3 linked regions of the Drosophila melanogaster genome follow. The protein of the gene in region 3 interacts with the protein of the main gene of each other region in a pairwise test. Each region holds a gene or a part of one and is shown on either strand. Other genes may lie near its edges.

Region 1 (9,938 bases), on a different chromosome or scaffold from region 3:
AGCAGCACCAACAGCATCAGCAACATCAGCAGCAGCAGCATCAGCAGCAGCACCAACAACATCAGCAGCACCAACAACACCAGCAGCATCAGCAGCAGGGTGGCGGTGGGCCTGGGTCCCAGCAGCAAATGGTGCCGGTCAGTGTGGCAGCTGCCTTCCAGGTGGCTGCAGCAAATGCCGCTGCTGCAGCCAATGCCGCTGCTGCCAACGGAAACGGGGGCTCAACGCTGGATCCCAATGCTAGCGTTTACACGCCGAAGAATGGCAACATGATGGTGGTGTCGCCGGTGGGCATGAACCCCAACGGTGCGGATGCCTGACGCCAACAGCAGCAGCAGCAGCAGCAGCAGTCCTTGACGTCATCGTCGTCGTCGTCCTCGCACATGCATCTGCGACGACAAGTTTGAGATTATTATACTTTATATGAATTAGGGAAAAGAAACGCAAACAACCGTCGCCACAGCAAACGATGAGCAGGCCGTAACCTGGTGCCGGTTCCAAGAAGATGTTTGCATACAATATCTGAATGTCCGTAATATAAATAAGCAGTTTCCTTTAAAATTTAATCACCGCCACAGAAGCGCAGGCAGCACTGATGAATGCAGCTCAAAACTGCTAAACATTTCCCCCCCTTCCAAAAATTCAAATTGTTCAATCAAATCCAATTTCCTCAATTAATTCGGCATTCCAAACAGAAATTTCCTTACATAACTGACCGCCCGTTTCAATATTCTCAGATCATTTAAAGCACTGTTTTAAATCGGCTGCCCGCCACCACACCACACACCACATACACATTTAGTAAACTCCCTCTAACACGAAAAGTACATGATTACTTTAACAAGATGATTCGAGAACTCGAGAAACATTTGAGAGCGATAAGAACAGAACACAAATTTCTAAAAATAATAACAAAATGAAAATGGCGATTCGTATATTTTTTAATTCATGAAGAAAGCCAAGGAAGTACCCCCCAAAATCCTATGTAAAATGTTTTCTATTTTTTACCAAACGCTGTGACAGAGTTGGACCAACCGAAGTGATGGCCATGATCTTGGGGAGATGCCAGGAGTTTTGCACGACCTCTGCCTCTTGCCCAACGATTCAATGGAATATTTTTGAAGTCTGCGCCCTTGATTTATTATCTCATTAAATTATTTTTGTTATAAAACCTTAAATGTATGCTATAATTTAGAACCTATACTTTTTGAAAACAAACATCAAACGAAAAACGATTTTCTTTTAAGTTTTAATTTATTTTTGTTTAGTTCTGCTGTTCCTAAGAAACAAAAAATCGAAAACAACTAAGAGAAACGCTTTAGTTTATTTACGCGAAGTGAAACGTCGACTATTTTGTTTAATAATAAAGAAACCTTTCGCTGCGAGAAGCAAGTATAAATTCTATTTTGATTAATTTAGTTAATTTAGTTTTTCTTATTGTTTCATAGTCGTAGGAACCTTTGCTTCAGTTGTACTTTTTGACTTTTCCCAGTTGCCCGAATCGCTTTAGCAGTTCAGTTCCACCAGGAAATTCAACAAATCCAAAATGCTGATCTACTATATTTATAGTGTGCTTGAAGCCATTTCGTATGCGATCTACACAACAGTGGCCACCATTTCGAGCATTGAACGTAAGTGTATCGCTCACGACCATGTTCGCCTTACTCAATCGGCACGACCCGATCCACAGAGGCCCTAATCAACCTGATGATGTCCACATTTCTGTTTGTGCTTGGGATAGCGTGTCACCCGGTAATGGTGATTCCCCTGATGCTGGGAGGCTACTATATTCTACGCAACTGTTTGAATCGTCGGACCAAGGCGCCAAGGCTGCAGAGTTCCGTGGATGGCGATGCCGGACTGATCACGGCAGGACCACGTAAAGTGCCACGTTTTCCCTCTCATCGCAGCCTCGCTCTCGGCGTTGACGCTCCCAAGGACAACTAAAAATGAGGATATTCTTGGGTACATACGAGTAGTCTCCTAACTTACAGACGTTAACAAATACAAAAGTGGGCGCTCCCAAAACTTGGCTACATACAAATGCTGCGGATATTTTATTGTTATTCGGTTTTCTCTTTTGATATCCTTGGCATTGATAACTATTGTTCTATGACTATGACTATTGTTTATGGTGAAGTTATTAACGCTATGAATACTGTACTATGAATCACGGTTTTAGCAAGCTACTGGTGTCCACTTTACGCAGCGCCTCTCGTGCCTTAATCAAAGTGACGTTGCTTGGCTGAGTGACGAGCCCGGCTAAGTGCCGGATGTACTTGTCAATGTTGCCAACGCTGGGACCACTTGGCTCCAGTGGTGGCATCGAGATTCCGCCGAGAGCTGCGACCAGTTTCTGGCGCAAGGCGCGCAAATAGGTCTCCAGGCGTTGGTTCTCCTCCATGAGCTCAGTTACCTCGCCCATCACCTTGGCGTACCCGGCTTTCGTATTATCTACGTGCTGTTCCAGCACAGCGTTCTGCTGCTCCAGATCGGTCTTGGCCTTGCGCAGCGTCCTCAGCTCATTCTCCGTGCTGCGATTGTGTTCGATGAACTCGTTGGTGTAGATGGGTATCTCGCCGGGCTGCAGCGGTCGTGGTGCAGGTGTCGCAGGTGGCACGCTGCTGGGAGGGGGCTGTACTGGAGCCGCTGGCGGTGTGGGAGGCGGTGGTGTCTGGGCACGCTTCACCTTGGCCAGAGGCACATCATCCGGATCCTCGCTCTGCCGCTTAACCGGCTTTGCCTTGGTCTTCTTCGCCTTGCCCAAGGCTGATTCACCCTTCGGCGTCTTTTCCTTGGGCGAACCATCCAGTTTTGTGGCTTTCTTGGCTTTGGCCAACTCGTTGGCCACAATTTCGGGGTGTTCCTTGAGAAACATTTGCAACTGCTCCTGATATCTACGAAAATGGGAAGATATGTTTAGATTTTGTGGGTTGGAAACGAAGTGTGAGCTTACATGGCCTTGTCCTTGGCGGCTGCCTCGATGTAGGGCAACTTGCGCTCCTCGGGCAGCTGATGCCACTCCTCGCCGATGATCCTTGTGTGCTCCAGGGCAGTACGTTGTGGCTGCTCCCGTCGCAGTTCCTCGCGTCGATCGTTCATGAAGCGGACGTAGCCATTAAGTGGCATTTTTGGAGCACCGGCTACGTTGATCCGGCGCTGGGCCAGCTTCTTCAGTTCGGAGCCGATGTCGGAATCCGAGTGGCGACCCTTTGGATTCTTGGCTTTCTTCTTTCCCTTGGCCGGTTTGTCCTCGTCGAAATCTTCAATGGTCGCCGTATCCATGGATTGGGAGGCGATGGGCAGTGATACGGGTGATTCCGGAACCGCATCCGGTGTCTTGCTCGTTGGTTCCGTCATTTCTGTTTAACCGTACACTCTATTGCATTTAAAAATTGTTTATCTTTCTGCAAAATCACAGGTATGTGGTTCGTAAGCAAAAACTGGTTCAAGTCTATAAACAACTTTTTCGAACTAGTTCCGAAACAAATTCGCTTTTGCTGGCGCATTAGGGTGGCTCTATTTATATTCTTTAAAAAATATATTTTTCGAGCTTAGCAAAATCTTGTTTAAATCCTAGTTCAGTTTGGAGAAAAACAGAGCTGTATTTCGTCTTATTAATGAATAATATACTAATAAATAAGGTGCATATATTTCAGAGCATAGTTGTGGTTTTATTTCACCTATCCGCATTATCTGCAGTCAGTTCAACTCACTTTTTGTAATATATATATATTTGGTTAATAAAAACAAAATGACTCATATGCTTACACCTAAAACTGTCCCATCATCTACGCAGAAATTGCGTCATAAAAAAGTGGCGTGATGCTAGAGAAGTGGCGTGATTAACTATTTATCATACGCAGTTCAAAGTTCTGTTTCGCCTAGAGTAAACAAAAACAAAGAGCTTGTTGTTTGGTTTGGTTTATATTTTGAATATTTTTTAGTCAAATGTTTTTTTTTCAAATTCTTTGAGCACAATACATACATATAAGAGTAATCATAAGCCTATGTGGTTAGAGATTGTTAAATATAAATGGAAACCTACAGCTAAACTTAGCGCTCTAACTACAGTATCATATATAAAGCCTTCGATTATGAATTTATGTACAGCCTATCAACTAAAAAACTTAAACAAACGGCGGCCGGCCAAACTTAACAATAAAAGAGAGACAGAACGAAGTTTTCAGCTTGAAAAACTCAGATCAAACTGGGAAACAGCTCGTCAAAGTTGCTCTCCCAGGGGAAATCGTCCTCATCTGCGGGCAGAGTGAGAGCCACGGATGTGGGAGAGCCCAGTATGGACTCGTATCCATGGTCCGAGGTGGCCGAGTGTAGAGACAATGCGGGGGATTTGGCCAACGGGGAGATCGCCTTAACGCGCGGACGTAGGAATCGGTCGATCGGATCGAAGCTTTCCTCGTCGTCCGAATTGTCGACGGCGTTCATCACGTTGAGATAGACCTGTGACGGAGACGTCGCTGGCGGCGGACACTTCATGATCACGTCCGTTGAGTCGTCGCCAGCGCTGACGCCGTCACAGTAGATCTCCTCGACGGCCTCGTTCACCGGCACCGCATCCCCGTCCATCACGATGGTGATCGAGTTCGTCTTGGCATCATACGTGCCGTACACTGTGTCCGGAGTGGCCTGTAGTTGCGAGGCGGCCGCTGTCGCTGTGATTGTGGCTGTTCTCGAGGCTGGCGCTGCTGTGGTATGCTGTGGGTTTCCATTTATCTTCAACATCTGCACATTTAGGCTGACCTTGTGCTCGGTTTCCTGTTCCTGCTCAACATTCAGGCCATTAGCTCTATGCCCGTCGGATTCCAAGCGCTCTGCTGCGGGCCCCACCATTGGTCCAGGCAATCGCTCTGCGTTGCCTGCATCTTGGGCAGCAGCTGGGCTGCTCGCTCCAGCGCCTGTTTCCAGGTCTGCTGTGATATCTGCGAGCAGACTTTCGGCCAGCTCTTCGAGGCGCTTGACGTCGAACTCTTCGTCGACGCCAAGCATGTCTTGTAGAGTAGGCAGAGGGCCACAACTTTCCAGAGTGAGGCCAGGCTCTTGCTGCTCTTCAGCTGCTCCGCCAGCAGACGCGCTGACGACTGTGTGTCCACCTGTTGTATACCCTGCGGCAGAGGGTCAGCTTTGGATGCTGCAGATCCAAGGTTGGTGGACGCACAGCCCTCAGCGCCTGCGCTGGCGTTGGATTGGCTGATGCATCTGGTGTTGTGCTGCTGTTGCTGCTTCAGTTCGGCGAGTTCTTGGCGCAGCAGCTCCAGCTCCGAGTCCAGCTTGTGGTTCTTGGCCAGCAGTGACTCGTTGATGGCCTGCAGGCTATCGCACTTGTTCTGTAGTATTTCCGTTCTGTCTGTCAGCTCCTTGATCTCGTAGTCCATCTCCTCCATGCGTGCCTTCTTGCGGTCACGCGATGTCTGGGCGGCCACACGGTTCTTTAGCTTCCTGTTGTTCGATAATAACAGTTAAATAAGGCGCTCAAATTTGGTTAAAAGTTGGGTGGACTTACTTTCTTTGCACTTTCTCCTCCCAGGTTAGATGGTCCAGGCGACGCTTCTTGGCCTTGGGCTGGGATGCAGCCATGTTATCGTCATCCATGTTCGACGAGGATGCGTATCCCGAACTCGAGGGCGTGGGCGAGGCGGAGGGCGTGGCCGACACCTTCAGCAGAGCTGCCGTAAGGGGGGCGGGCCGCAATTTGGGCAGATTATTCGATGTGATTGCTGTCCGCGGCACGGTAATTAGCACTGTGTTTGCTGTGGGTGCCATGTTTAACTGGTTCGGGGCTAAATGATAAACTGCTGTGTGCTGTGTGCAATTGTGAAAAGCGACTTTCCACTTAGATTTGCATTGTAAGAGCGTATTTTAACTTTTGCTTGTTTTAGGTCGTCTCATGAACTTCGACTGCGCTTCTCGGACGCTCTGCTGGTTTGAATCTCTTCATCGCCGCCGACTCGGGCTTTTCTGGCTCCGTCTCACGCAATTTTCTCATCCACCTTTGCAATATCGACCGACCAGTTTTCCTTTCTGCTGACGTGTTCTTTTCCGAATGGCTGTGAAAAGCTGACGTGTTTTTCTAGAAGAGTTGGGGTAATGAGGGATGGAGCAGCACGTATCGGGCTATCGATTACAAATTCAGTTAATTTAGAGCAACGATGATTTGTAAAAGCGCTTAAATGTATTGTAAATTTTTTTTTATTGGATTTAATAAATATATTGTAACATTTCAGGCAATATCTTAAAACAAAAAATAGTTCCTTAAATTTTTCACACAATTCATTTTAATATCCAAACATAGAACAACGACTATGCCATCTCGAATTGCGCATGGCAGTGTGACCGTCTATATCTCAATGTGGAACAGTAAAAACGAGAAAGGAAATTATTTGTTATAAAATGTATAAATTTATTTTCCGCGTTATTTGCAATTGCTTGATTAAAGGGGCATCTAAAACAGTGGTTGTTGTGGTTTCTTGCCCTTTTCTTTTTCGGCTTGTGCTAGTTCCTCCTTGATAACCTCGGCAATTTCATAGATATCAGGCTTGTGCTGGAAATTTTAGATGAATCCAATCAAAAGTAGTTGGGAAATGCGATCTTACCCTGAGTTGATTTATGTAGAAGGTGTAGGGAATGTGTCCAGTAATGGGATCAATTGCCACAGGCCACATAGCATCCAATTCTTCAGCGGAGAAAGGTTCTCCTTCCTCCGCCATTAATTTGCCGAAGTACTCCTTGGTCAGATATTTTTTATTTTCTGGATCCAGGGTCTCAAAGGCCTCGAGAAGCTTTTCCGACGAGGCTGGTTCCATTCTGTGGACAAATATCGTTAGTTGCTAAACAAACCTAAAGTATATTGAATAACTGTCGATCCATCAGCAGTTTGGAAACGTGTTCCATGAACTTCACCAAATGGGCTTCGCCTGGATAGTCGACGGAATCGGTGGCTTTAATGACATCTTCGACCTCTTTTTCGGTGGGCGCGCAACCTAAAAATCGGAGCACGTTGCCGACATTGCGGGAATCAATATACTTATCGCCATGAGTATCAAATATGCAAAATGCTTCCGAAATCTTTTCCTCGAGTTCGTTGTTTAGGGTAACTACAAAAGGTTAGTGATATCAAGCGGAGGTGCGATGCTCATTTTATGTAATGCCTACCACCAACTTCCATCGCGGGTATATACTTTAGAATTTAATAAATAAACTGATAATTTTAAAATACGATTTATTTTTTCCTGATTTATATGTTTTCTGATTGAAGCATTATTAAAGGTTTGCTGTTTATATTTCGAATTTGAAAATAACGATCGGAAATCGATAATGGCGCCAAGCAAAGGGTATCGCCCCTGTGGTCATACTAGGTGTGGTGAATATCGACCGATAAGCATCAGTCGATAACTGCCTGCGAAGCAGTCGTGTTGAGCGTCGCGTTATTTTGTTTTCTGTTTTGTTTTTCGTTTCGTGTTTTTAATTTGTTTCCCATTAATTTGCAATTAAAGTTGAGACAATCGTTTAGCTAAAGATTTCATGTTACCCAAACAGTGAAGTTCGAGACTTTCCAGTGCCTTTTAAAGGACGAAATAGACTGCATTTGCTTGTTGTCGCTGAGCATTTGCATCTGTGTGCGTCGTTTGGCAGCAACAGGTTTTCCAACTCAACTCAACGCGCCACCTCAGTTTTCATTTGTTTTCGATATTCCGTGGAGTGCGGTTCGCGTTGCGGGAAAATCGAATTGCAATTGAATGCAGCGTTAAATGGAAAACGAGCAACTCGTTTCACATATCGTCGCAGGTGTGTAACGTCGTTCGGCGATTCCAACGGGTTTTCCAGGAGGTTTTTGGCCCACAACAAGTTCAAAAACTTGGCCATAATACCACAGTTAACAAGTGCCACTGCAACTCTCAGTTGTGTTGACAAGTGTATGTGCATGTGTGTTCAGAAATACGCGTTTTCAGAAAAAAAAAGAGAAACAACGAAAATCACCATAAAAATGGAAAGTGTTCGACACTTGGATGCTCAAAACTGATCATCGATCCCTCGCTTAACACTCGTTTTCGAGCCAAATAAATAAGCAAAACAACTCAAAACGGCAGCAGAAATAAACAAGGTGCGAATTTTGAAAGTGACTGAAAATGTTATTTATCTCCCCCATTGACATTTTTCCAATTTCTGCCCATGGCATTGACCACTTTGCTTCATTACCCGATAGAAAGTTTATCTCTGATCGATGGCAATTAGCGAGGCGTGCGTGAAAAGATAAATATTTGCAAATGTATCTGGCACTCGACTGTTGAAAGCTAGTTTCCATGATTGCTGATCAATTTGCATGAAAAAAAGATGATTTTGTTTACTTCGAGCATAACTTGCTAGTTTCTGAAGAACTGTTCATGCTTTTATCAATGCTTACTAGTACTAACAGTTAAGACTTTCTTTTGCTAATAATAGGTTATATCCTCATGCAATCAAATCCCAACTTAAATGTGCAAAAATAAGAAGATAACGTGCTGGCCTAACCACATTTGGATATGATTGCAACTCACTTCACAGTAAACCTCAGGCGCCCATAAACGCCGATGATGAATTTTCCCCGTGCAGTGAAATTGTGGCCTTAACTATTCGCTTTTCACTTGCTTTTCCATAGCCGCTCCCCTTGTTGATTGCCATTTGTTACTAGGCATTTTTTTTCTGGTCGTGCGCCGCCTGTTTGTCGAAAGTGGCCCGATCTTTTTTTTTCCTTTTCCTTTCCTTTCCTTCCTTGCCTTCAACCAACTTTGCTTGCCGCTCCTTTTGCGGCTTTTCTCTAATGGGAAATGCTCAAACGACAGGTGGCTGGGCACATACATTTGCGGTCTGCGAAGGATCTCGGTGTGGCAAGTGGAGCAACCACCATCGCTACCACCATCGCGGATCGTTCCTGTTACGTGTCCCTACACTCAAAGAAACGAGCAGTGGAATTGGTACTTTTAGAGCAATATCCCTATAATTATGGGACACAGAAAACAGACAATATCCAAATCCTTATCAAATCGTAATCCACAAAAGGGACTCTATACGTTTTCTTTTGTGTACTTGTGGGGGTTGCCTTTCGGTTTTCAGTTTTCGTTTTTCGGTTTTCAGTTCTTAGTTCAGTTTTCGGTTTTCTGGCGATCTGCTGGCATACTCTGAAAAACTTGTTTCTCTCCGCCGTTGTTTTGTTTGTCGTTTCTGGAATTCTTGGCTTGGCGGTGCCCGCAGCTCGCTGTGTGCCTCACGGAGTACTCCCCCTGCCCTGTGGCCACCTCCATGCCGCTTCCATCCACACAACGATCGTCGTTGTGCCTTTTTTCTCATTGGAGTAAATTTTTCGCTTGAGGAACTTTATGTTGCTGCCGTGTTTGATGCCCCTTTTTTCGCACAGTTAATTTTCTTATTCCTTACCCCGCGCTCATAATTGTGTGTGTGTCGTGAGTCAACGTTTTCATATTTGCAGCGGGGAAACTAGCTCTTTTATTTTGAAATACATATAAATGCATATTCAAAAGTAGCGAGAGTTGCAAACTTGCCTCAATCTGCTCTGAAAATATAATTTGTTTTAAAACTAGCTGGCTCAAATGTTTAACTGCACCAAATTAAACAAAGAAAGTTTGTTTTTTTTTTTATATATGGATCCAAGTAAACCGAGCTGGTTTTCTTAAGCGCACTTGAAGACTGCAAAAAATGGCTTTAAGTGGCGAAAATTTAAGATAAACCTCGCCATGAAATGCACACAAAAATAATTATAACTATGCGTCTGGCATGGGAAAGTCGAAGCAGCTCGCCGTTAAATTGCAATGTCAACAATGGAGGGGTTTTTTTTTCTGCGGCTATGGTTGCCATGGATACTGACTAGCCTAACTGAACAATCTACTGATTGGCCCCACTTGCAACTGCAGTCTGGACCAAGC
Region 2 (11,448 bases), on a different chromosome or scaffold from region 3:
CGATAAATTTCCCTTTTCGGGCGCTGCCAAAACGAGATTTACGAGCATATTTTGGTGAAAAACTTTCGAGAACCCAACAAAGCGACAACTAATGAGCTCCTGAAGGACTTGCTAGCCGCTCTTCATTAGCCTAATGAGCAGAGTGACGCCGCAAACTGCTGCAAAACTAATGTGTTACCATTAACGATTTAAGGTTAAAGTCAGATCAGAAACTGGCAACAGAACACACCCCACATTCCCACCGTCAATGTCAACGCTACGTGTTTGGCATGCAAACCCAGAGAAAGGCGGAAAATCGGGTAGACCCAGGGAGTAAAAGTAAAATGCAGGAGGAAGCCCCCCAATCATCCGGCCATGCGATTACATGTGTGAACTATCGATTGAATTAAGACCAGCCGGAGCGGCTGGGGGCGTATGCGAGCCACTTAAGCGTGTCGCTCGACGCCGCTTCCTCCTCGTCCTCGTCCACTTGAGGAGCATCATAAAAAAACGCACCACCCCGCACCGCAGCAGATAGGCCAGGAAGATATTCCGCACGCCACACCATCCGATCCCATCGCTTCACTGAGAGAAATCTGATATTTCCTCGATTCTATGTTTGCTTTCAAGCAAATTGCTGCCTAAAACATAGATAATAGTTTGGTTTTTTTTTTTCAATTACATTTATTACAGAGTAAAATGATTATGAATTAAAAAACTTATTGGATATATTATATAAAAAATCATAACTTTTTGCTGATACATATAACATTACTCATAATTTTAGATATCACTCTGCAAAGGGCCTTTTTTACATTGAAATATGTAAGCAAGTTTTTTGTTAAACATGCCATCTGCATTATTGACCTTCTTGATACTTATTTAATGATATTTCCTTTCTCGCAGTGTATGTCTCATCAAAGCCGTCACACGTCGCAGTGCAGGCATAAAAAGAGTGTCCCGAATGCACAGCATAATCAAGCAGTGAGTGTGAGTGCGTGTGTGGACCATAATAATGTTGACAATCATCCCAGTTGTCCGAGATGGTTTTTACTCCGGGCTCGGGATATCTGCCCCTAAGCACTGATTATGCCCAAGATGAACTTAGCCCATGGCCATGACAATTTACCGATTGTCATTGCCGTGTCTATAAATTTCATTTGACAAGATGCCGGGCTCTCAACGCCGCTGCTCCGCTGCCCGCAATCCCAATCCTCAGCTCATCCACTCTTGTGACATCCACTCAAGCTGCCTGTTCCCGGGACTTTGCTCGTGTCTGCCCTCCGGCTCAGAATGTGAAGGAGGAGCTGGGGGCAAGGAGACTCTCTGTCGCCGGCGATTTGCATCAGAGTTTCATAATTATTGTTTAATCTGCACTTGAAGCCAGAGTTCCGAAATGTCGCAGACCTCAATGAGAAATGGGATCAGGAATCGCTATCGGATTGGTTGTGAGCCAAAAGGTCTAAGTGTGCTCTCGATGAAAGTGACAAAATAATGGTCGGCGAATATTAAAAATATAATATTGCTTTGTGCCACTCAGACGAGATAAGAGATGTAATTCCTGGCAGAACAAATTGTGTTTTTTTTTTTTAACAAAAAAGAGTAACTCAATAAATCAGACCAGCTATGAATCATAATAAATGCATGAAATTTAAAGATTCTTTCTGAAAAGATACATATGTATGTACATTGTCTTTCATTGGATGCAATATTTGTTCTTTAATTTATATTATTTACCTCTGAATGATTTCGATAAGAAATTGTATATATATTTGAATCAAAGTCTTTTCCAATCCAGCCAGTCGCTTGATTCCAATTTCGGCCACAGTTATTTCAATTTTTATTGCATGCTCGGAAAAAGCGAAATCCGAAACTTCCTGCTGGCCGAGAATTAAGCTAGAAAAAAAATAAGTAAAGGGCAAAAGAAATCAAAGAAAAATGTCCACTTGATGGCGATCGCCATCACTTGGGCCAAAACAAAAAACCCGAATTTCATCAAAAATACTTGCGCAACTCTTCGATCGAGTGGTTTCGTCTGGTTACATAAGCTCCTAAGAGATTTGGGTTCTTGGTAGGGCAGGAAACTCATATAATCAAAATAAAAATAACAAATTCAGATTCTGAAAAAAGCGTAGCGAGGCGACACCGCAAAAGTGAATCGAAATTGAAATGAAAATAAACAGGCCAAAGGAAACGATTTTTATTAGGGATTTATTACGGTTTGAAAATGCAGATATGTAGATACGGCCCTCTGATTATTGCCGAATTACGCCGCCCCAACTGAATGCTGGACTGCTCCAAAGTTCCAACACCGCCCCCTCCCCCTCCTAGGGGCTGATGCTGATCTCCTCCATGTGGACGATTGTAACCCAATGCTGCACTTCAGCTGGAGCTCCTACTACTCCAGAGCTCCTGCATGCGCCGTTACGCGACCGAAGTTTGTTGACATAACTTATCGAAGTCCAGAGGGATCGGGATCGAAGTGTTTATTTTGATTCTTAAACTGTTGCCCGCGGGGGTCGTCGTCGCTGGAAGCCCATTTATCCATGCCGACAGACCACACAGAAGATGCCACTTCTCGGAAAACGGCGAGATGAAACCCAAAATCTATGATGCAAGCTGAGACCCACTCGGTGGTTTCTAAAACCCAGATATGAATATGAATGTGGCATGGGGACAAAATAGAATACAATTTGAATACTATGAAAAACTGAGCATTCTATATTTTTACGATCTTCAATGTTTAAACTATCAAGCATCCAAAGAAACGAACGTAACTCTCAGTTCATGAGCATTCAATGAATCTTTTAATCCGTATCAATGTTTACAGTTGCACTGAAACTGAAATCTAACGTTTACTAGTTAGATTGCAAACCTTTTGGCTGGCAGGGAAGCGCCCAAGAAAGAACGCACATAGGATTATTCATTAATTTAGATTTATTTATTACTAAATTGTTTTATGCACACTTATCAACTACTCACAATTGTTTTTAGTTTGTAATTAATCTTTAATTTTCCGGCTCAGTATTCGCGTGTGTTTCTTCTAGTTCCACAAAGACAGAAATCTGAATGCATTCAAAAAATCTTAAATTTACATCTTTTCATCTTTATACGTAAGTGTGTGGGTGTATGTACATTATTTTCGATCATCATTTTCAGTGCTCATTAAATTGTATAGGACTTTGTTAGTTTGTTAGTTTACTTCAGTTGAGTTTGTTCTTCGCTTCGATCCAGTTTCACTTTATACATCGGTTCTTCCAGCTTGCGGTGTTTTAACTTAATACAACCTTTAGTTTTATTAGATGTATTGCTACTGAAGGATTGGAATTTTTGCGGGCGGTGTGGCTAAAACGGAAACGGCAGGGGAAGCACGGCCTCTAGAACAACTATCGCATCTATGATATTATAATTCGCTTCTGTTTCGCTTAATACTAGTAGGGAAACTAAGGCTAGAACTAATCAACAAATAAGCGTGTGTTACTAACTCGTACTTTGTAATAATTTAGCGATTGATAATCAGAAGCCGCTAGTTAATTTACCTTTTTGTTTTTGTTCCTTGGGTTTATACAATGTTTGTCCTTTATACATACGAGTTCCAATTAGTTTTATTTATAATCGATCTTTGCCTTAGTCAAACTGATAATCAGCAAAAGTTCCATCCAAACACGCTCTCTCTCTCTCTCTCGCACTTTACTTTCTATCTCATCTATCTCAATCTCTGTCGATCACTTTCCAAGTTCTCAAACTGATATTCATCGGAATTTATTGTCGCAATCAGAATAATGGCAAATTAAACGCTTAAAAACCCCTTTAATAAATTTCATAGTAACATAGCTAAACAGAATTCTGCGGAAACCGCCTAATTTTTCAGCATTATTGATTAAATGGAAATGTTTTTAAATTAATGAGGGAATAAATATCAACAGTGGTGGTAATGGGAATGCACTTCTCTTGAAAATCCAACCTAGTTACTAAATTATTTTTAAGAATACACAAAAATAGGGACAAACTTACAATAACGCGTGGTATAACACAAATCATTTTGAATGTATAACAAACAGAATTTGAATTCTGACATCTAACCCCTTGGAAACGCTTTAACAAACTCTTTTTGGAAAACATGTTCTTTCGAGTGGAGACTATTTGGAAAACATTCTTGGAATCAAACCAATTTACCTTATACATTGTGTCTAGGAAAAGCTCTTGGAAATGATCAACTCTTTGTGAAAGTACCTTAAACACGGAACGCTCTCTACTTAGTTGACCAGCTGCTGGGGATTCCACTGTGGACCCCGATGCTGGAGATGAAGTTGCTGGGGGTGCTGCTGCTGCTGCTGCGAGGAGGAGGATGAGGATGCGGAGGAGCCGCTGGCCACCGCCAGCTGGCGTCAGAGGTAGAATTCCGGAGAGCTTTGGCTATCGCCGCCGGCGGTTGCACCTCCCGCACCGACTCCGCCATTTGCCGCCCGCTGCAGACGCTGCATGAGGGCATCCCGCTCCTGGCAGACCCTCGAGTACTCCAGCTTCAGGCGGTGCAGATCCTGGTTGAGCACCCGGTTGGCCTTCTCCAGTTCGTGGCGCTGATGGAGTCGCTTGGACCGGCAGTTCTGGGCATAGCCGCGATTCTTCAGGGTGCGTCGCTTCTGCTTCAGACGCACTACCTCCTCCCGTGGGCAACCATGGAGCCGCTTGTTCAGCTCCCGCACCGTCAACGTGGTCAGCATGTCGTCATTGAGGCAATCCTCCAGCGTGGCATTACTGTAGGCACCCGAACAGGTTCTGGGCGACATGTTGTTCGAGGATCTGGTCGAGCTGGCGGAGAGCGGGCGGCACGGCTGAAGGGCAGCCCGTGTGATGACGCAGGAGCCGCCACCCACGCTGCCGGGTCCACCACTCCCGCTTCCACTGCCTCCTCCGCCTCCGCTGCTGCCACTCCCGTTGCTGGGCACTTGGGGCAGACAGGTGGGCGTCAGGGCACCCGAAGCACTACCGTACGAGTTCGAGTGCATGTTGATGGGCGTCAGTTCCAGATTGTGGAAGTGGTGGTGATGGTGGTGCGGATACTTGCTCTGCTGCAGCATCACCTGGTGGGGATGACCGCCGTGTCCATGCGGATGATGCTGCGCCTGCATCAGCGGCTGTCCGTGATGGTGGTGATGAGCTGCCGCCGCCTGCAGGGCGTAGTCCCGCTGTCTGTCCCACTCCTCCGCCTCCTCCTGGGAGCCCGGATAGGGCAAAGGCCGCAGATCCAGCGGCTGCTGGTCCGCCCGTATCGAGTTGGTCAGCCACATCATGTCATGGCTCAGTCCGGCACTCACCGATGCTGCTCCGGCGGAGGCAGCAGCTGCGGCGGCGGCGGAGGCGGATACGGATACGGAGCTGCCCGGTGTCCTCGCATAGTGGTGTGCGTAAGTCTGAGCCGGACAGCTGCTGCTGCCCGTGGGCGAGCCCACTACTGGTGGCGTTTCCGGCGGCGTTGAGGGCACTCCGCCCGGAACGCCCGCTCCCGAAGATGTGTTCACCAGAATCGCCTGTCCGGGCAGCGGACCATACTGCTCTGGTGGCGGAGAGAGCGGTTGCAGGCGCCGTTCGTCCATGTGCCACTGGTGATGGCCGGAGAAGGACCTCAGCTTGATGTGCGGCGATGGCGAGACCTCCACTGCTCCGGCGGGCTCTGGTCCGGACAGCGGCAGCGAGTCCGGGTCATCGTCCGGATTCGTGGGATCGCCGTGGATTGTCGTCCATTTAACCGCCACCGGCTGCGGTGGACTGTGATCCTCGCGCTTCACATGGCCCAAAGTCGTGACCTGGGACGCGGCACCGGCTCCATGCGATTGGCCAGCTCCATTTCCGCCCACCTCCAGGTGGTGCAGATCAAACTCCTGAACGTACGTGTCGTTTATGGTGGGATCTTCCATTTTCATTGGATCGACCAGGGACCGGAGAGGGTCGATTACGGGTCTCACATGCAAGGGAGTGACCGTGCTGATTGGTGGGTGGTGGTTAGTGGGTGGTTTCAAAGGTCAACTACGCGATCGGGGGTCACGGAACCAGGCACTGGCGCTTTCGGCCTGCGGCTAAGTTTTATCTTGATCTCAGGATTTAGGTTACGTTTTTTTTTGGGGTTACCCCAGAATCTGTTAGATATTTACTTCGATGCCGGTTTCTTAGATTTCGTTGTAAAAGATTGGATTGCTTATTTATGATTTAAAATGTAAGTATGCTTTTATTAAAGCGATCACTATCCGCACTTTGGCGCTTAATTCATTTGTAAGCTCGCTCTCTTTCCAATTTTGCTCACTAATTTCGCGAACGCGCTTTTCGCGTCCAATGTGAAAGAGTTAACGGTGGCGACTGAACTCCGTGTCCGTTTCAACTAAGGTCGGACTGAATCTGACTGGAGGGTGGCTCTGCTCTGGAAGCTCTGCTCTGGATGCTCTGTTCCCTTGATGATAACTGTTAGAATGGCAGCGCAGCGCGCGCACACCCACACACACACACCCATTCCTTTTCCCAACAGCCGACAAACAAAACGACTTGCCAAAACCAAAAAGCCGACCAGCCCAACAACAAACAAAACCGAGCTCGAACGCCATTCGCTGATGCTTTTGCTTTTGGTGCGAGGGAACTCCTGTTGGAAACGTGGAAATGACGGTTCTAGAGGAAGGAAAGAGGCGAAAGGGCGGGGAGGCACTTGTCCGCAAGAGAGAGAGAGTGCCTTTCGTTGTAGTTGTAGTTGTTGTTTGTGCTTTTGCCGGCAGCTGCTGCTCTCGCGCACAACAACAACAAAAGTCAAGCCGGGAAAGCTTCGTAGATTCGATGCACTGCACAGTGGGATAAAAAATTGCAAATATAAAATAATTTCATTCGTACATTTTGACAAGTTTAAGTTGTCTAAATCAAATACAATATTTTATAGCTAAAGGACTAACTTTGAACTTTGAAAAAGCGATTATATTTTGATCTGCTTTAAATGTTACAACACTTGAATATCTATACAAAATTCTATTAATTTCACGTTCTTTTTTAAGTATTTTAAAGAAATTTAGACCTTTTCGTGGAAATTCAATCAATTCTTAGCTAAAATCGCTTCCCTTGACTAACAATCATTCTGGTCAAAGAACATTACTTCACCAATAACAAATATGTTGATGTTGTTAACAGTCTAAAAAAGCGACTTAACAAGCCAGAAAATTGACTGCATTGCCTTATAATTGGACATGGAAAAACATATTTTATGCATTATGCTATATACATTATTATATACTATATACATTATTAAATTTTATATATACTGATGAGCTATTTAATGTTTAAATTTCGGAACATGTAGCACGTAAGTAATGTTTCAGTAAGCCCTTGATACCCAATACCTCGACCACTGTGCAAGAGCACAAATCTATGCTCTGGGATTTCACTTTGTTGGTGGTGGAATGGAACCGTTGGTGTGGCTGCTCTGCTGCTCGGTTTATTGTTTGCGTTTTTGAATTGCCATGGAGCGCATAAAAAATGGCACACATAGACACACAGACACACTTTATGCTGTCGTCGACTCCGCCCACTTTGCCACTGTGTGCGCGTGTGTGTGTCGGTGTGGCTCTCCCCATCTGCGAGTGTGTTGGTGTCTGAATATTTATGAGCAACTACCACGGAAATTCCCGCATAGCCCCATTTGCCGACTTCCAGTCTCATTTGGCTGGCCATCCACACGAAGTCGGTGATGGAGGTGGAGATGGATGTGCCCATATGTACATACATACATATGTATATCCACATAGGAAAGTATATGCAGGAGTGGGTCGCACAAGCACAGGCACATCCATATCCACGTCCACATCCACGTCCACTGTTCCATTTTCCAGTGCATAAGTCAATGGGAGATGTTTTAGCCGAGATAAGTCGCTCGATTTGTTTTGGCTCGTATATAATACACTGCCCACTCCATGGGCATGTGTGTGTTTGCTTGGGCCAAAGGATTCCATGGTGCACAGGTGCATTTTTATGCTGATCCAGCGGAAACGGAGTACAGAACTTAGGAGCCTCCGACGGCCCAACTTGGACACGGGGCGCTCTTGTTTTACTTTAATTTGAACCCCTTTTTTCTGACTTTTTGTTTTGAGCAAATGTTTTGTCTTCGCTGGCCAAACAGATTGCTCTGATGTAATATTGTTGTGGGATATCGAAAGGCTTCTGCTTTGTTTGTGCAACAAGTTCTGGTTCGCCAGGAGGGGTGGGCAGTATGTGGAAATGTGGGCTAGCAATGCCAATCCACCTTTCCTATTACCAAATTTAAAATTTGAATATTTTTTGGTTAAATATGCGACATAAGATCTGAGGTACTTAAAACCACAAAGATAGGGATCTCAAGAAGGCTAGCATATGTAAAGCTATTTTAAACGATTTCTTCCATTATAAATAATTAAATTCAACAGAATATTTAGAGCGTTGTTTAAAATTTGATTCACTGCGCTTAATAATATTTTTGTAATTTTCTTCCGTAATAATATTCAGCAAACAATAATTTTCAGTAACATTAAGGCTATAGCTACATATTCGGGAAAATATATATTATTCTATTACCCACATTTTTATAAATATTTATTTATTTAGTTTTGGGATTTCTCGTTTAAACTTTTTCTATTCACCAGTGAAGCGTTTCAATGAACTCCTTCCCAAGAGAACTATTCCGTATTTGGTTAGCTTGCGAGCCGCAAAAGTGACCACAAAACTTTGTTCCACTTGCTGCGACAACTGGGCCTTGTAGTCAAATCCTCCCACCCATCCACCCACCTCCCCCTTGGCATTTCAGGCACACCCATTCTCCACGCAATTGTTGTGTCGAAAGGAATCGGCAAAGGGGCGGAAGATGGCAGAAAACAGGACTCTTCCGTAGTCCCTCAGCCAGCAGGAAAAACATAAAACAAAATCAAATCAACTGCTGTGGGTGGGAAGAGCGGGAGAAAATGCAAAGGGAAATGTGGGGGAGGGGTGGTGTGGGGAAGTGAGTTCTGGGCTTCATTGAAGCTTGTCAAAATTAAATTGAACACAATCGAATTATCCTCTGTATGCTCCATTTGGTTGTCTGTGCTGATTTCCAGTAGATGCGGGGATTGGGGCGCTTCGCTAGACAAAGACGAACAATCGACGATAGAAAGAGACAGCGCGATAGTCCGGCAGGAGCATCACTTAAGCATATTAAAAAGGGTTAAAGGTGTGCAAATATTTACCGGCGGCCAATTAAAAATATTGTTAATAATCAACCGAGAATCGAGAGCAGTCAGTTGGCTGGAATTGGGGCTTTCGGCCACGTGTTGGCAAACTTTTCGGTTTCTTATTTGCACTTAACCCCCATGCCTGAAAATATGCAAAGATACAGATGGAATAATACAGTCATATGGAATTAAGGGTGTTACGGATCAGAAGGCTAATATAGGGTAATAAAGTATTACTAATCAAAATCACCATACTTCACAATCTTAAGTTGTATGCATAATATTGATACATGAAATCGCTTATATGTACATTCCAGAAATACAGGTGTAAATGGCGATTTTCAAAATCTTCGGGATGTGTAAATGGGATTTAACGTTGCATACCAACTAAGTTCGTTTTTCCTATTTTTTTTTTTAATAATATATTATTTTCGAGTTCTCAGGTATGCCAGCCACAGTCGTGTTACCTCGCTCTTAAAGCCCCTCATTTGCATCCGTTCCGAACTTCGAGGGGATTCGATTGTCAACTGGCGCTGAATCCGAGTGCAAATATTTGTGCGCGATTCTTTTCAATTGCATTTCAATTGTTGCCGCTGATGATGATGTGTATGTGGATGTCAATAATGATTTCCTCCCGCATCGAGTGAACGCATTTGACAATGTTTATTACGCCGGATTAGGCAGCATTACAACTTACTGGGGAAAAGGCGCTCTAACGTGGTCGCCATCCTGCCATGTGGTGATGTGATTGATTGTACCCGACAGTCCATCCCCATCGCCCCCGGAATCCCGCAGATCATCGCCTCAAGTGCACTTTAAGCACGAAGTATAGTCGTGTTTTATCACGAGCGTCTCCTGGTGAATCTACAAAAAATCGATTTTGAAATGGCAAATAACGTTGACATGTTCACGTCAATTTACCTTCCGTACCCCGGTGGAAAACCAGCCACCACCTCACTTTCCATCCACATATCTCAGCGGGAGTGCAACTCCATTGGGGGTCTCCTTTGTGTTGTTGCACAATGAGTTTTTACGCGATTTATGCTCCTACTTTTCCAATACAGCATTAATGACTTGTGACGGAGGATCAAGATAGACTGGAAGTTAGTGCATGTGCACCAGTTTTAATTTTAGGATGAGACTCAAAATCACTCATTTAAAAGCAAAAATTCTCGTCCAAAAGGCTAGCTAGCAACCTTTATTTCTAGGAAACATACATACTTCTTAACCTAATGTTGGCCTTTTAAAAAACATAGAAATTAAATTCTACAAAACTATTTAATCAAGTAAAAAAGTTATTCGCTTTAAGAAATTCCTATTTATTTTTTAAAAGCAAATTCTAAACACAAAATGTCCCTATGATGTTTCAATAGCTCATAATCACACATAATTTTCTCTGGCACACACACAGTTGGCAGTCGGTAGTGCAAAGTAAATAAATTTCGCAACCATTTATCACTTGGGAGGTCCTTCGCCGAGCAAACATACTTCGTCCTGCGGCAGGACCTGTGGTAATCGGTGTCTGTGGCAACAGAACCATAACGATCCACCATTTATGCAGCTTACACCTTCGCCTCGGGCCTGGAGTCGTCGTCTTCCGGAGTCAACAAATTGACAGCGAATATTTCAATTATACTGGTCTGGCCTGGTCCTTATTTATGGAAATCCCCCAAGCCCGAACAATCCTCACTTCGCGGGGCAGTGGGAAATTGACCCCCGTTCGGCACAGTTGATGTTTGTTTACAAATCGCTGGACATAATTTATTTGTTCCTATTGTGTTTTGCTTTTGGCCTGGGATCTGCCTGCCAATCGCCGCGTGATAAACCGCCTTCGGTGATAAGGAAACCCAAACGGGGTGTGAGTGAGGGGTTGATTCGGTCGGGGTCACCCTTGCCAGCTCATTAGGAAGCAATTATCCGTTTAGGGTTGCAAACATATCTTCTGGGAGAGAGGGAAAAATTGAGGTCAGGTACACTGTCAACGGATGTCAACGACTGTCAGTTTGACACTGCCTTCGGTGACAGTTGACAGCCGGGGAACGCCCTCAAATGTGTCTCCTGGATAATATGGCCAATTTCGGAAGTGAGATGCGGAAGCAGATGAGTTCGAATTGAGGAAGTTCTTTGGGGAATTTGGCTTTCTGCATGTCTACGGAATAATAAATCGGAGGTTATTTCAAGAGTAAATTGAGTTCAGAGCATACTAATAGAAGAGACACACAATGACACTAATTAGAAATCAAACAAGTACCAACTA
Region 3 (10,110 bases):
TGATACCAGTGGACAATAAACCAAACGAGGTTCCAACTTTAGAGCAGCTTTTCCCAAAGACCATACCCAATATGCAGAGGAAGCCGCTGAGAATGTGCATCTACAAGGACGATGTGAGGGCAATCTTCTGGAGACAGGGAACTATCTTGGGGACCGATGGCCTGCTGGCGGCCTATGTGGCTGAGCGACTGAACGCGACCATGATGATAACGCGTCCGCACTCGTATAACAACCACAATCTCAGCTCGGACATATGTTTCCTTGAGGTGGCCAAGGAGTACGTGGATGTGGCCATGAACATTCGTTTCTTGGTTCCGGATACCTTCAGGAAACAGGCGGAAAGCACGGTATCCCACACGCGTGATGATCTTTGCGTGATTGTGCCGAAAGCCAAGACTGCTCCCACTTTCTGGAACATATTTCGCTCATTTGGCTCATTAGTTTGGGCCCTAATTCTGGTTTCTGTTCTGGTGGCGAATGTCTTCTGCTACATCCTGAAATCTGAAGTGGGTAGGGTTCCCATGCAACTTTTCGCCGGAGCCCTAACTATGCCCATGACCCAGATTCCGCCAAACCACTCGATCCGATTGTTTCTGATCTTCTGGCTTTACTTTGGACTACTTATATGCTCGGCATTCAAGGGAAATCTGACCAGCATGATGGTGTTCCAGCCTTATCTACCCGATATAAACCAATTGGGTGCGTTGGCTAGGTCCCACTACCACATCATCATTCGTCCAAGGCACGTAAAACATATCCAACACTTCCTAACCCTGGGACACAAGCACGAGTCCAGAATTCGGGAACAAATGCTGGAAGTTTCCGACACCCAGATGTACGAAATGATGAGGAACAATGACATAAGGTATGCGTGTACGTGGATTAATTGCTGTAATTCCATAAAATCTACTTTCGCAGATTTGCCTATTTGGAGAAGTATCACATCGCCCGTTTCCAGGTGAACAGCCGTGTGCACATGCACCTGGGTCGTCCGCTTTTCCACCTGATGAACAGCTGCCTGGTGCCGTTTCACGCCGTTTATATCGTCCCCTACGGTTCACCCTACTTGGGTTTCCTGGACTCACTGATCCGGAGTTCGCATGAGTTTGGATTCGAGCGATACTGGGATCGCATCATGAACTCCGCCTTTATTAAGTCTGGAGTAAAGGTGGTAAACCGTCGACGCGGGAGTGGCAATGATGAACCGGTGGTCCTCAAACTGCAGCATTTCCACGCCGTATTCGCTCTGTGGCTGGTGGGGATCGGGATGGCATGCATTGTGCTGGCCTGGGAGCACTTGACCCACAACTACAATTTGGCGGTAACAAAGCGGCGGGACTAACTATCGCATGCAGCATGCAATGTGAGGCGGATGATTGTGTTGATGTGGCGTCCACTTACCTGGGTCTTCTCCTCCTTGTTTCGATTCGCTTCCTTCAGCACGGCAATCTCGTTAGTCAGTCTTTGGATTTCATAGTTGATGAGGCCATCGGCGGTCACATGTGCACCACTCGATTCTGGGCCCGATTCGATGGCCTTCTTTATACCGTTGCTCTTCTTGGCCATTTCCAGCGTATGCTGCAACTTCTTCACTTCACTCTTCCACCGACGACTATCTGCGTCATTCTGAGCCCTGGGTTGAAATAAAAAAGCGATAGATTGCATTTTTTAATGTCTCTTTAAATTCAAAAGATCAGATCGAAATGGGTTTTAATATCAAACGTGTGACTATTCTATCATATTTTATATCTAGATGAAACCAGAAATATTTAAATGTAATCTTGAACAAACTGATTGCATGTATATTTATTTCCGAGTTTACTGATTGCCAATCGTCACTTTCATGAAAGGTCAAATATGTTTTCAGTGCACGAATACTTTTAAAACGAATGTATTTGTATTTGATAACTCAATTTAAAAAGTTTCACAACATTATGCAATATAAAATGGTGCGATTAAGGTAAAATGAAATGGGCTTATCACGTTCCTTATTGGTATATATGTATATTAATGGACTTACCTTAAGGCTCTCACTGCACCGCGTTCTGTGATCAGACTGGACTTCAGTTCATTTACCTCCAGACGCAGTTGCTCCGTGAGGGCATTTAGCTTCTGGATGGTGTCCATGTTCTCCTGCAGTTTTCTCTTGATCCTTTGTGGAGGTGCTGCTATCACATTTGTGGTAGTCACGCCACCAATTATTACGGGTCGTTCTCGATCTTTTTCTGCCTTTCCCAGTTGCTTCTGGGAGCCGGCAGATGGGCCCTTCTCGGCCTCAAAGGATTGGGTCTCCTTGGGTCGCAATTTGCCGCGACAATGCAGCTGGATGCCCTCGATGCGAGTGCGCTTCTCCTGATTCACCGTATCCCCAACGGAAGTCAGGGAGCTGCTCAGTTTCTTCTTGCGCTTCAACTTGTTCTTGGCCATCGTTTGCCAGTCTTCGATATCGTGCTTCTCCGTGTGGAAGCTCTCTTTGAGTTTGGAGCCAGGATCCGTCCGGCGGACCACAGTCCCATTGTGGGGCGCCAGGATATGGGCGGTCCTGCTCATTGTATTACATCCCTTGCTAGAGGTCGTTTTGGTTTGGTTTTCAGCCATTTTTATGTAACTTTAGTATATAAAAATGTTGCCGTCGTTTTTTTTTGGGTTTCTGCTTTTTCAAGTACTGCATATGCCGGTGCACCCCGATCCTGCCGAAAGTCCCTGCTATACTTCACCTGGTCATCGTTGGATTCTCCTCAATCTGTAAGCGATATATTCAAAATAAAGTATACAATAATGTGGCTTTAATAATGCTTTAAGCATATACAATAAAAGCCCTACTCTTATCTACTTATTACAAATTATGCCTTGAAAAATTACACAGTATACAGAATTCCGAGTCTTTGCCCGCATGGAGGTTGTTTCTTCAGAATCGCAAAGATTCCCCTTTGTCTGTCAGCATTTCAATGGCTTCTGTTTAGCCGTAGACTCTTCAACGCTTTTCTTCACTGGGTTGAACTAATCAACAAGTTTCCCCCATTATTGATTTCAGCGGAAAAGCTTTTTCCTTCATTTCGCCACATCGGGTCGGGCCACACATATGAATGAAAAACGAAACATATAGGCACCCTGGGACTGGGAAATAGTTTACAACGCCAATTGCGTTGGGCTTACCAAATAAACTGGTCCGGAATGACTTTTCTTAATGACGTCATGTGGCGCGCCTTTTGGAATAGAACAGAATATGTACGTACATTCATATGTACATGTGTTTTTTTTGTTTTGTGAGGTTCCCCACTGGGGCGCTTTACACGCAATAAAACCGCTTTTCATTACTTTTTTTGTTCTACAGAAACAGAATTCTTTGCACTGCTCCCACATCCGCCCCAAAGATTATAACAAAGCATCTATATATATACTGTATGAGGTGCACACACGAGTAGGCCCACAGTTCATATGTTCATAGAATGCTCTCCGAGATTTCTGGCCGATCATCTTTATCAAGGCCACGATCTATATACACATGTAGAGCGACAGATTTGTGTACTTAGCAACCTTCTGGCGCCTAATTGGAATTTGATTTGTTTTTCCAGCTCGATACACTAGGTGTTAATAGGGAGGGATCTTAAGTGAGTGGTGCCCAAGTTTATTACTTTCTGGTTATCAACATAAATTATAAGTAATTATTAGTAAACTTTATGATATTGACTCTTGGACGTATTTCAAAACCGAACTGTTAGTGGAAAAACTACCCTAAAAGAGGTGTTCGTTCCAAATGTATGTAATATTTATTTTGTGGCTTTTCTATAAACTGAAGGACTGGGGCTAATGATGGCTCTCATGTTGCATTTCATTTAATTAAATTTAAAACCGCCCCCAGTCCACTCGATAATAAAGTGTTTTTGGGGTCGACATACACGCCATGGTGACATCACAGCCTCGGTGTGACCGGCTTGGTTGGGATTGGTTTTATACGAGCAAAGCCACCCACTCGATTGCCATCCACATCCACAGCCATCCACATGGGCAGATGAAAGTCTCTTTTTTGCTCTTTAAGTATGTATATTTTCAGTCATATATCAATTTGAAAATATTGCCAAACGATGAGTCGGTCAGCCGTCGAGTGTACAGTCTGCGGCTCTTTCGGCTGATTCACCGAAGATCACGTATACGCACCATTAGCTCTGAAATCCTTGGGCGTCGTAGACCAACAGTTGGTGTGCCTCAAACTTCTGTATATGTTTATTCACTCACTCACTCACTCACTAAGTCGACCGACGATGTTGTAATGTAAACAGTTTATTTACTGCCTGCTTGCCACTGTTTCTTGCAGTGTAATGACGTCAATACGTTAATTTTCAATCAACTTTTTTCGCGCACAGACCAAGTAGAATATCGTCGGTATGTGGAGCACTTCTTCGACAATTGTTAAGCAAAGTATGATATATTTTTGTTCAAATATATTCACACAGTTCGTACAGGAAGTTCGAAATTATATCAATTAAGTTACACAAGTTCGTCGGAATAGAAGTGAGTTATGTTCGGTTCGTTTGGGGAGTATCCTAATTAGTTGCAATCAATTTGAATTGTAAATTAAAAGAAGTGTTCTATACTAGGTAAATTTCGTTGCTCGGCGATAGCAGAGATCTTTCGTTTCGGCCGGACACCGATTGACTAACTCGGCCTCTCGAGCTTTCGCAAGCTCTTTCACATTTGCCTCCATTTCCATTTAATTAAAAGGAGCTTTGCCATTTATTCATGCACTTCTTGGGGTTATGGGGTGGCAAAGCTCGGGTCTGTGTGCGTGCCCCGAAGAATGGCCGACGTGAAGCCGGAAGAGCCCATCTATTGAAAGCCGAAGATGTTTTCCTCCCGGTTCCCGACTTCATAACAAAAAAAAACCAGTCGCGTGTTTATTAATAACCAAAATATGCACACAACCCGCCACGAAATTGGTCAAAATAACAAACAGTGAAATAAAAGATATCGGAACTTCAGGTTGATTGGATATTAATTCGGTATAAGTTTGATAAAGTAATGATAAAATTCAGTTAAATTGTTATATCTGTGTAAACATTGTTATAAGTACTTCCGCATGATTAAGGCGCGTTGCTCAAACATATATCAGCACAAAGCATTTGTGCTAGTTTAAGTTTAAGAGCAATCTGAAGACGTGACATTAAAGCTGTTGAAACGTGCATCTATTATTATATGTTTAGACCAGAAGTAAATAAATTTGGTAATAAACATACTTGCAAAACATTTAAGTTGCTCAACTTTTTTATAGTCTTTTTATGGCAATTAAAATTTCATACTTTTAATTTCGATTTAAATGCCAAACGTATTGCGTATGAATATCTTTATGTCTATAATCCCCAACAGCTGAAGAATCTTCACAAATCACATACAAATTTGACAATCGCCTTAACGACGCGATGAATGATGGACACAATTAGAACACATTCCGATTCCAGTCAGTCAACACAGGGGAAATCTAAATAAAAGCACAAAAGGGGAACAAACTTTGCACTTTGATTTGAGTGCCTTATCGTGTGGGAGCCCCACTTCACTTTTCTTTTTCTTACTCACTATTTGCATTTTTCATAGTCGGTTCAGCATCCTGATTTGTTTCATAATCACTCGGCAATTGTCTAGTATCCGGTTAGTATCCATTGGCATCCCTTGTGGTTCGATGTCGTCGTTAAGAGGAGTCTTGGGCAACTAAAATTCCAATTCCACATGACCGAATTAGATTTAGAATGCTTTCTTTCATTTAAACCTATTTGCGGTTGAATGTTCTGGCGTTTTGGCCTTTCAAATGACTCTTCTATTTTTCATTTAATTGCTGCTCGGTGCACAACTCACTCAAGTTGAGCGGTAGGAACAAACTGAAGATGCGGCGCACTTTCTAAAATGGAATAAGCGACATGCGTGCGTGCATCGCCAAATTTATATAAATAGAAGGAATCACAAATCTATATTTGAAGTTGGGAGCAATTTCAAAAAACCGCTCGCCGGTCAAGAGTGACGTCATGGAGCCATCGATAACTTTTTCGATAACAACTACCAGCTGCATATCATATTAGTTTAAAATGTTCATCAAAAAGTGTGGAAACTAGCTTTGTACCATAAAGTTAAAAAATCGCAAGATAGAAATAAATAGATAGTTTTTTATGAGTTAGGATTTCAAATTTCATTGTAAAGTGCGACTAAGTCCCCAAACGTTCACACTGGCTGCAAGCATCGATTAAATACAAAATAACAACGATTAATCGATTGGCCCATTACTCATCGCGGAAAACGTGAACGAAAAGCAAGTTGCCGCCTGTCTGCTAGGAACTTTATTGTTTTAAACTGTAATACGTGCTAAAGGCCAACCCCATCACATAAATATGGTAAGTCCGGCTGGAAATAATCCGAGGCTAACCAAGTGAATCCCAATCATGGACTCGTCCGCGAGCGGCATGAGATTGTAAACATAACCTGCAAAGAAGCTTCTCGCAAGCCGACGACATCTGCTGACTAATTGGAGACTTTTACTATATATTCGCCTTATATCCGTATGATCCGCAGCAACCGCAAATCGTGCTCCTCAAAGAAGGCACTGACTCGTCGCAGGGCAAGCCGCAACTGGTGTCCAACATCAATGCCTGCCAGTCGATCGTGGACGCAGTGCGGACCACTCTGGGTCCCCGCGGCATGGACAAGCTGATTGTGGATGCCCACGGCAAGGCGACGATTTCCAACGATGGAGCCACCATCATGAAGCTGCTGGAGATCATCCACCCGGCGGCCAAGACCCTGGTGGACATTGCCAAGTCACAAGACGCCGAGGTAAGTGATTGGCACCCCTGAGACGCACGTGACACTGCTAAAGCTTTGATTCGACTTCTCCTTCAGGTGGGTGACGGCACCACGTCCGTGGTTCTGCTGGCCGGCGAGTTCCTTAAGCAGGTGAAACCCTTCGTGGAGGAGGGAGTGCACCCACGAGTCATCATTAAGGCCATCCGCAAGGCCCTGCAGCTCTGCATGGAAAAGATCAACGAAATGGCCGTCCAAATTGTCGAACAGTCCAAGGACCAGCAGCGTGCTCTCCTTGAGAAGTGCGCAGCCACTGCCATGTCCTCCAAGTTGATTCACCAGCAGAAGGACTTCTTCTCCCGCATTGTAGTCGATGCTGTGCTCTCCCTGGATGAGCTGCTGCCCCTCAACATGATTGGAATTAAGAAGGTGACCGGTGGCTCGCTGGAGGAGTCACAGCTAGTGTCGGGTGTGGCCTTCAAGAAGACCTTTTCCTATGCCGGCTTTGAAATGGCCCCCAAATCCTATGACAACTGCAAAATTGCCCTGCTCAACATCGAATTGGAGCTTAAGGCTGAGCGCGATAACGCCGAGATCCGCGTAGACAACGTCAAGGAGTACCAAAAGGTGGTCGACGCCGAGTGGCAGATCCTCTACAACAAGCTGGCTAAGATCCACGAGTCCGGCGCCAATGTTGTCCTCTCCAAGCTGCCCATCGGTGATGTGGCCACACAGTATTTCGCCGACCGCGACATATTCTGCGCCGGCCGCGTTCCCGAAGAAGATCTTAAGCGCACCATGAAGGCTTGCGGTGGAGCCGTAATGACGACGGCCAACGACATTAAGCCCAATGTACTCGGCCTGTGCGAACATTTCGAGGAGCGCCAAGTGGGCGGCGAACGTTTCAACCTCTTCCAAGGTAAGAATCTTATTCGTATACTTAATTGAAGGACTCGTTTTAACAACCACTTGTTATTTTCCATTTTAAATAGGCTGCCCCAATGCCAAGACGAGCACCCTTATTCTGCGTGGCGGTGCCGAACAGTTTCTGGAGGAGACTGAGCGATCCCTCCACGACGCAATTATGATCGTGCGGCGCACCATCAAGCACGATTCCGTTGTGGCCGGCGGCGGTGCCATTGAAATGGAGTTGTCCAAGCTGCTGCGGGACTATTCGCGCACCATTGCCGGTAAGGAGCAGCTGCTGATTGCTGCCATCGCCAAGGGCCTGGAGATCATTCCTCGCCAGCTGTGCGACAACGCCGGTTTCGATGCCACCAACATTCTCAACAAGTTGCGCCAGAAGCACGCCCAGGGTGAGTGTCCAATGGTATTTGTCCATACAAAGCCACCTTAACGATGAGTGAATTTGAAATTTATATTTGAAAGGGGGAAGGATAAGTTTTTATTTTAAAGAACTTGTGTGTGAAACTTTAAACAAAAAACATTTGTTCCTCTTAACGAATGATAATCCATTTTTATTCACTTCGTCCAATTGTCTGTCTGATTACTTTTTTGAGCTGCTCATGCCAGAGAAGGAAGCAGGGTTCCTGGCATAGACCCGGCTTATCGGGACAGGTGTTGCACATGTACCTGCTGAACTGCAGCATTCCGCCTTTGTGGCAATAGCGGCAGTTTTTCTTGGCCGGCTTCCCGTTCTGCTGGATAAGCATGGGTTCGTGTAGAATGGTCTTCAACCTGGGCTCGGGCACCGGCTTGTTCTTTGACCGTTCATATGTCTCTGGCTTCTGGATACTAGTTACCGGTTCGTTCGTCACTTCTTCTCTTAGAAGCGACTTTATGATGATCACCCGGAACTCCGAGTAACTTTTAAGATGTCCGACTCGCGCATTCTGGCCATTAGCAAAGTATAGCAAATAGGCATTGTACACGAGGATGTTGAGTAGGAAAATGGTCAACTTTATGTTTGCCTTCAGCTCCTTGCAGGCAGCTTGGTAGTGGATCAGGTGGTGGCGACCGTCGTTTCCAGGTCGTAGTTGAAACTCGAGCTCCTGGATCAACTTAGGTTTTGCATTTGTCTTTTGCATGGCCATCTCCTTGGAATAAATGGCCAAGCAGTCAGAGCTGAAGCAGTACAAGCTCTTTGCCCGTCGTCGCCATTTGGCCATCATCAGAGAAGTGGCATAGCTGGTGGAGATGCTGTTGGAATCCAACCGCTGGTGCACCAGTGCCTTACTGTTGCCATATCTATTCCTGTCCAGCAGACCAGTGCAATAGGTGCTTTTCTTGGCCAACTCCTGAGCCAGGCCGTAGCTTCCATAGAACTTTGAGGTGTACACAGTGCGTCCTCCATGGTAACCCTCCATTAGTTTCAGGACAATCTTGTTTCGGTGCTCCACCAACTGCCGGGAATTGCGTACCCATGCCGGTGCGTCTTCCTTCCGCACAATCTCCGGTAGAATCTTCACCACCAAACCGCTCTGCTCAGTTAGCATATGCAGCAGTAGTGCGTTGGTGCGGAATTTGTTTGGAAGTTCATCCTGGTATCTTAATGCACCCTTCCACAGAGTGATAGGTTCATTGAGCACCAGTTGCTGGCCACAAATGTATATCTCTTCCATACGCTCGTTGATAAAGTCTAGCAGTAGAGAGTTCTTCACTTTGGCTCTGCCCGCTTGTAGCTGCGGTGCATCAAAGTTAAGGCAGTGCAGCAGCTGCTGATACCGTTCCAGAGGAATCTTCCCAGAGAATCCGACGAGACCGTAAAACATGTTAGTGCTCCAGTAATCCGATAGGTGCTCCAGCTTCAGGTCACACATAAGCAGGGAAAGCGCCATAAAGATTTCCATTTCTTCGGCAGTTGTGGGATTGGACTTGAGCTCTCCTCCCTTTAGGTTGCAGCTTTGGGCCAGGGAACTGAAGAACTTGGAGCGATTTCCCAGCACTTGGTTGAAGTAGTGCTGTGGTCCCTGGAAGCGTTGTCCGAATTTCAGGCCACTCTGCTGGATGGGAAATTTGAAGAGCAGTCGGGAACCCGTCTGCTGGCTGGACCAATCTGGATCGTAGTCATCCATATCGTCTGGGTTTAAAAAGGATAATTTTATAAGTGGGGTCTTGAAATGACGGGAGGAGCACCCTTCTTACCCTGACAGAAGACATCTTCAGCTTGGTAATCGAGCTCTGAGTAGCCATCCTCGTCGGAATCACTCTCTTGCTGTTCCAATTCCAAGCGAATGGTGTTGCTGGCCGCCTGCTGCTCCGCCACCAGCTGCAATTGGAGTTCAGTGAGATCCGGCTTGATATCGGCCGTACTTAAATCGTAGTCTGCTAGCGCCGGATAGCCGTCCAAGGGTTCCGACTTGATGT

Evidence for each region.
Region 1: the proteins of Pif1A (region 3) and Xbp1 come close enough for resonance energy transfer, tested with the Drosophila melanogaster proteins (one study listed by BioGRID).
Region 2: the proteins of Pif1A (region 3) and tj come close enough for resonance energy transfer, tested with the Drosophila melanogaster proteins (one study listed by BioGRID).

What each region holds. Positions count from the first base shown.
Region 1 is NT_033778.4:21,139,723-21,149,660, reverse strand, and holds Xbp1 (X box binding protein-1), read right to left. Parts: upstream 6,113-9,938; 5' UTR 5,785-6,112; coding exon 5,525-5,784; intron 5,461-5,524; coding exon 4,797-5,460; coding exon of another isoform or gene 4,201-4,796; 3' UTR 3,911-4,200; downstream 1-3,910. Other genes in the region: CG30389 (uncharacterized protein), read left to right, coding at 1-320; CG15657 (uncharacterized protein), read left to right, coding at 1,547-1,631, 1,691-1,947; Hmg-2 (high mobility group protein 2), read right to left, coding at 2,171-2,897, 2,957-3,360; CG9406 (uncharacterized protein), read right to left, coding at 6,464-6,562, 6,615-6,825, 6,878-7,115, 7,174-7,186.
Region 2 is NT_033779.5:19,459,211-19,470,658, reverse strand, and holds tj (traffic jam), read right to left. Parts: upstream 6,393-11,448; 5' UTR 5,904-6,392; coding exon 4,368-5,903; coding exon of another isoform or gene 4,236-4,367; 3' UTR 2,901-4,235; downstream 1-2,900.
Region 3 is NT_033777.3:8,795,304-8,805,413, forward strand, and holds the start of Pif1A (PFTAIRE-interacting factor 1A), read right to left. Parts: upstream 5,874-10,110; 5' UTR 5,572-5,873; intron 5,477-5,571; 5' UTR 5,391-5,476; intron 4,642-5,390; exon of another isoform or gene 4,159-4,641; intron 2,744-4,158; 5' UTR 2,599-2,743; coding exon 2,021-2,598; intron 1,664-2,020; exon of another isoform or gene 1,634-1,663; coding exon 1,402-1,633; exon of another isoform or gene 1,343-1,401; coding exon of another isoform or gene 919-1,342; intron 866-918; coding exon of another isoform or gene 1-865. Other genes in the region: Ir85a (ionotropic receptor 85a), read left to right, coding at 1-865, 919-1,342; CCT7 (chaperonin containing TCP1 subunit 7), read left to right, coding at 6,375-6,377, 6,556-6,816, 6,883-7,702, 7,776-8,099; CG9839 (uncharacterized protein), read right to left, coding at 8,262-9,823, 9,889-10,110.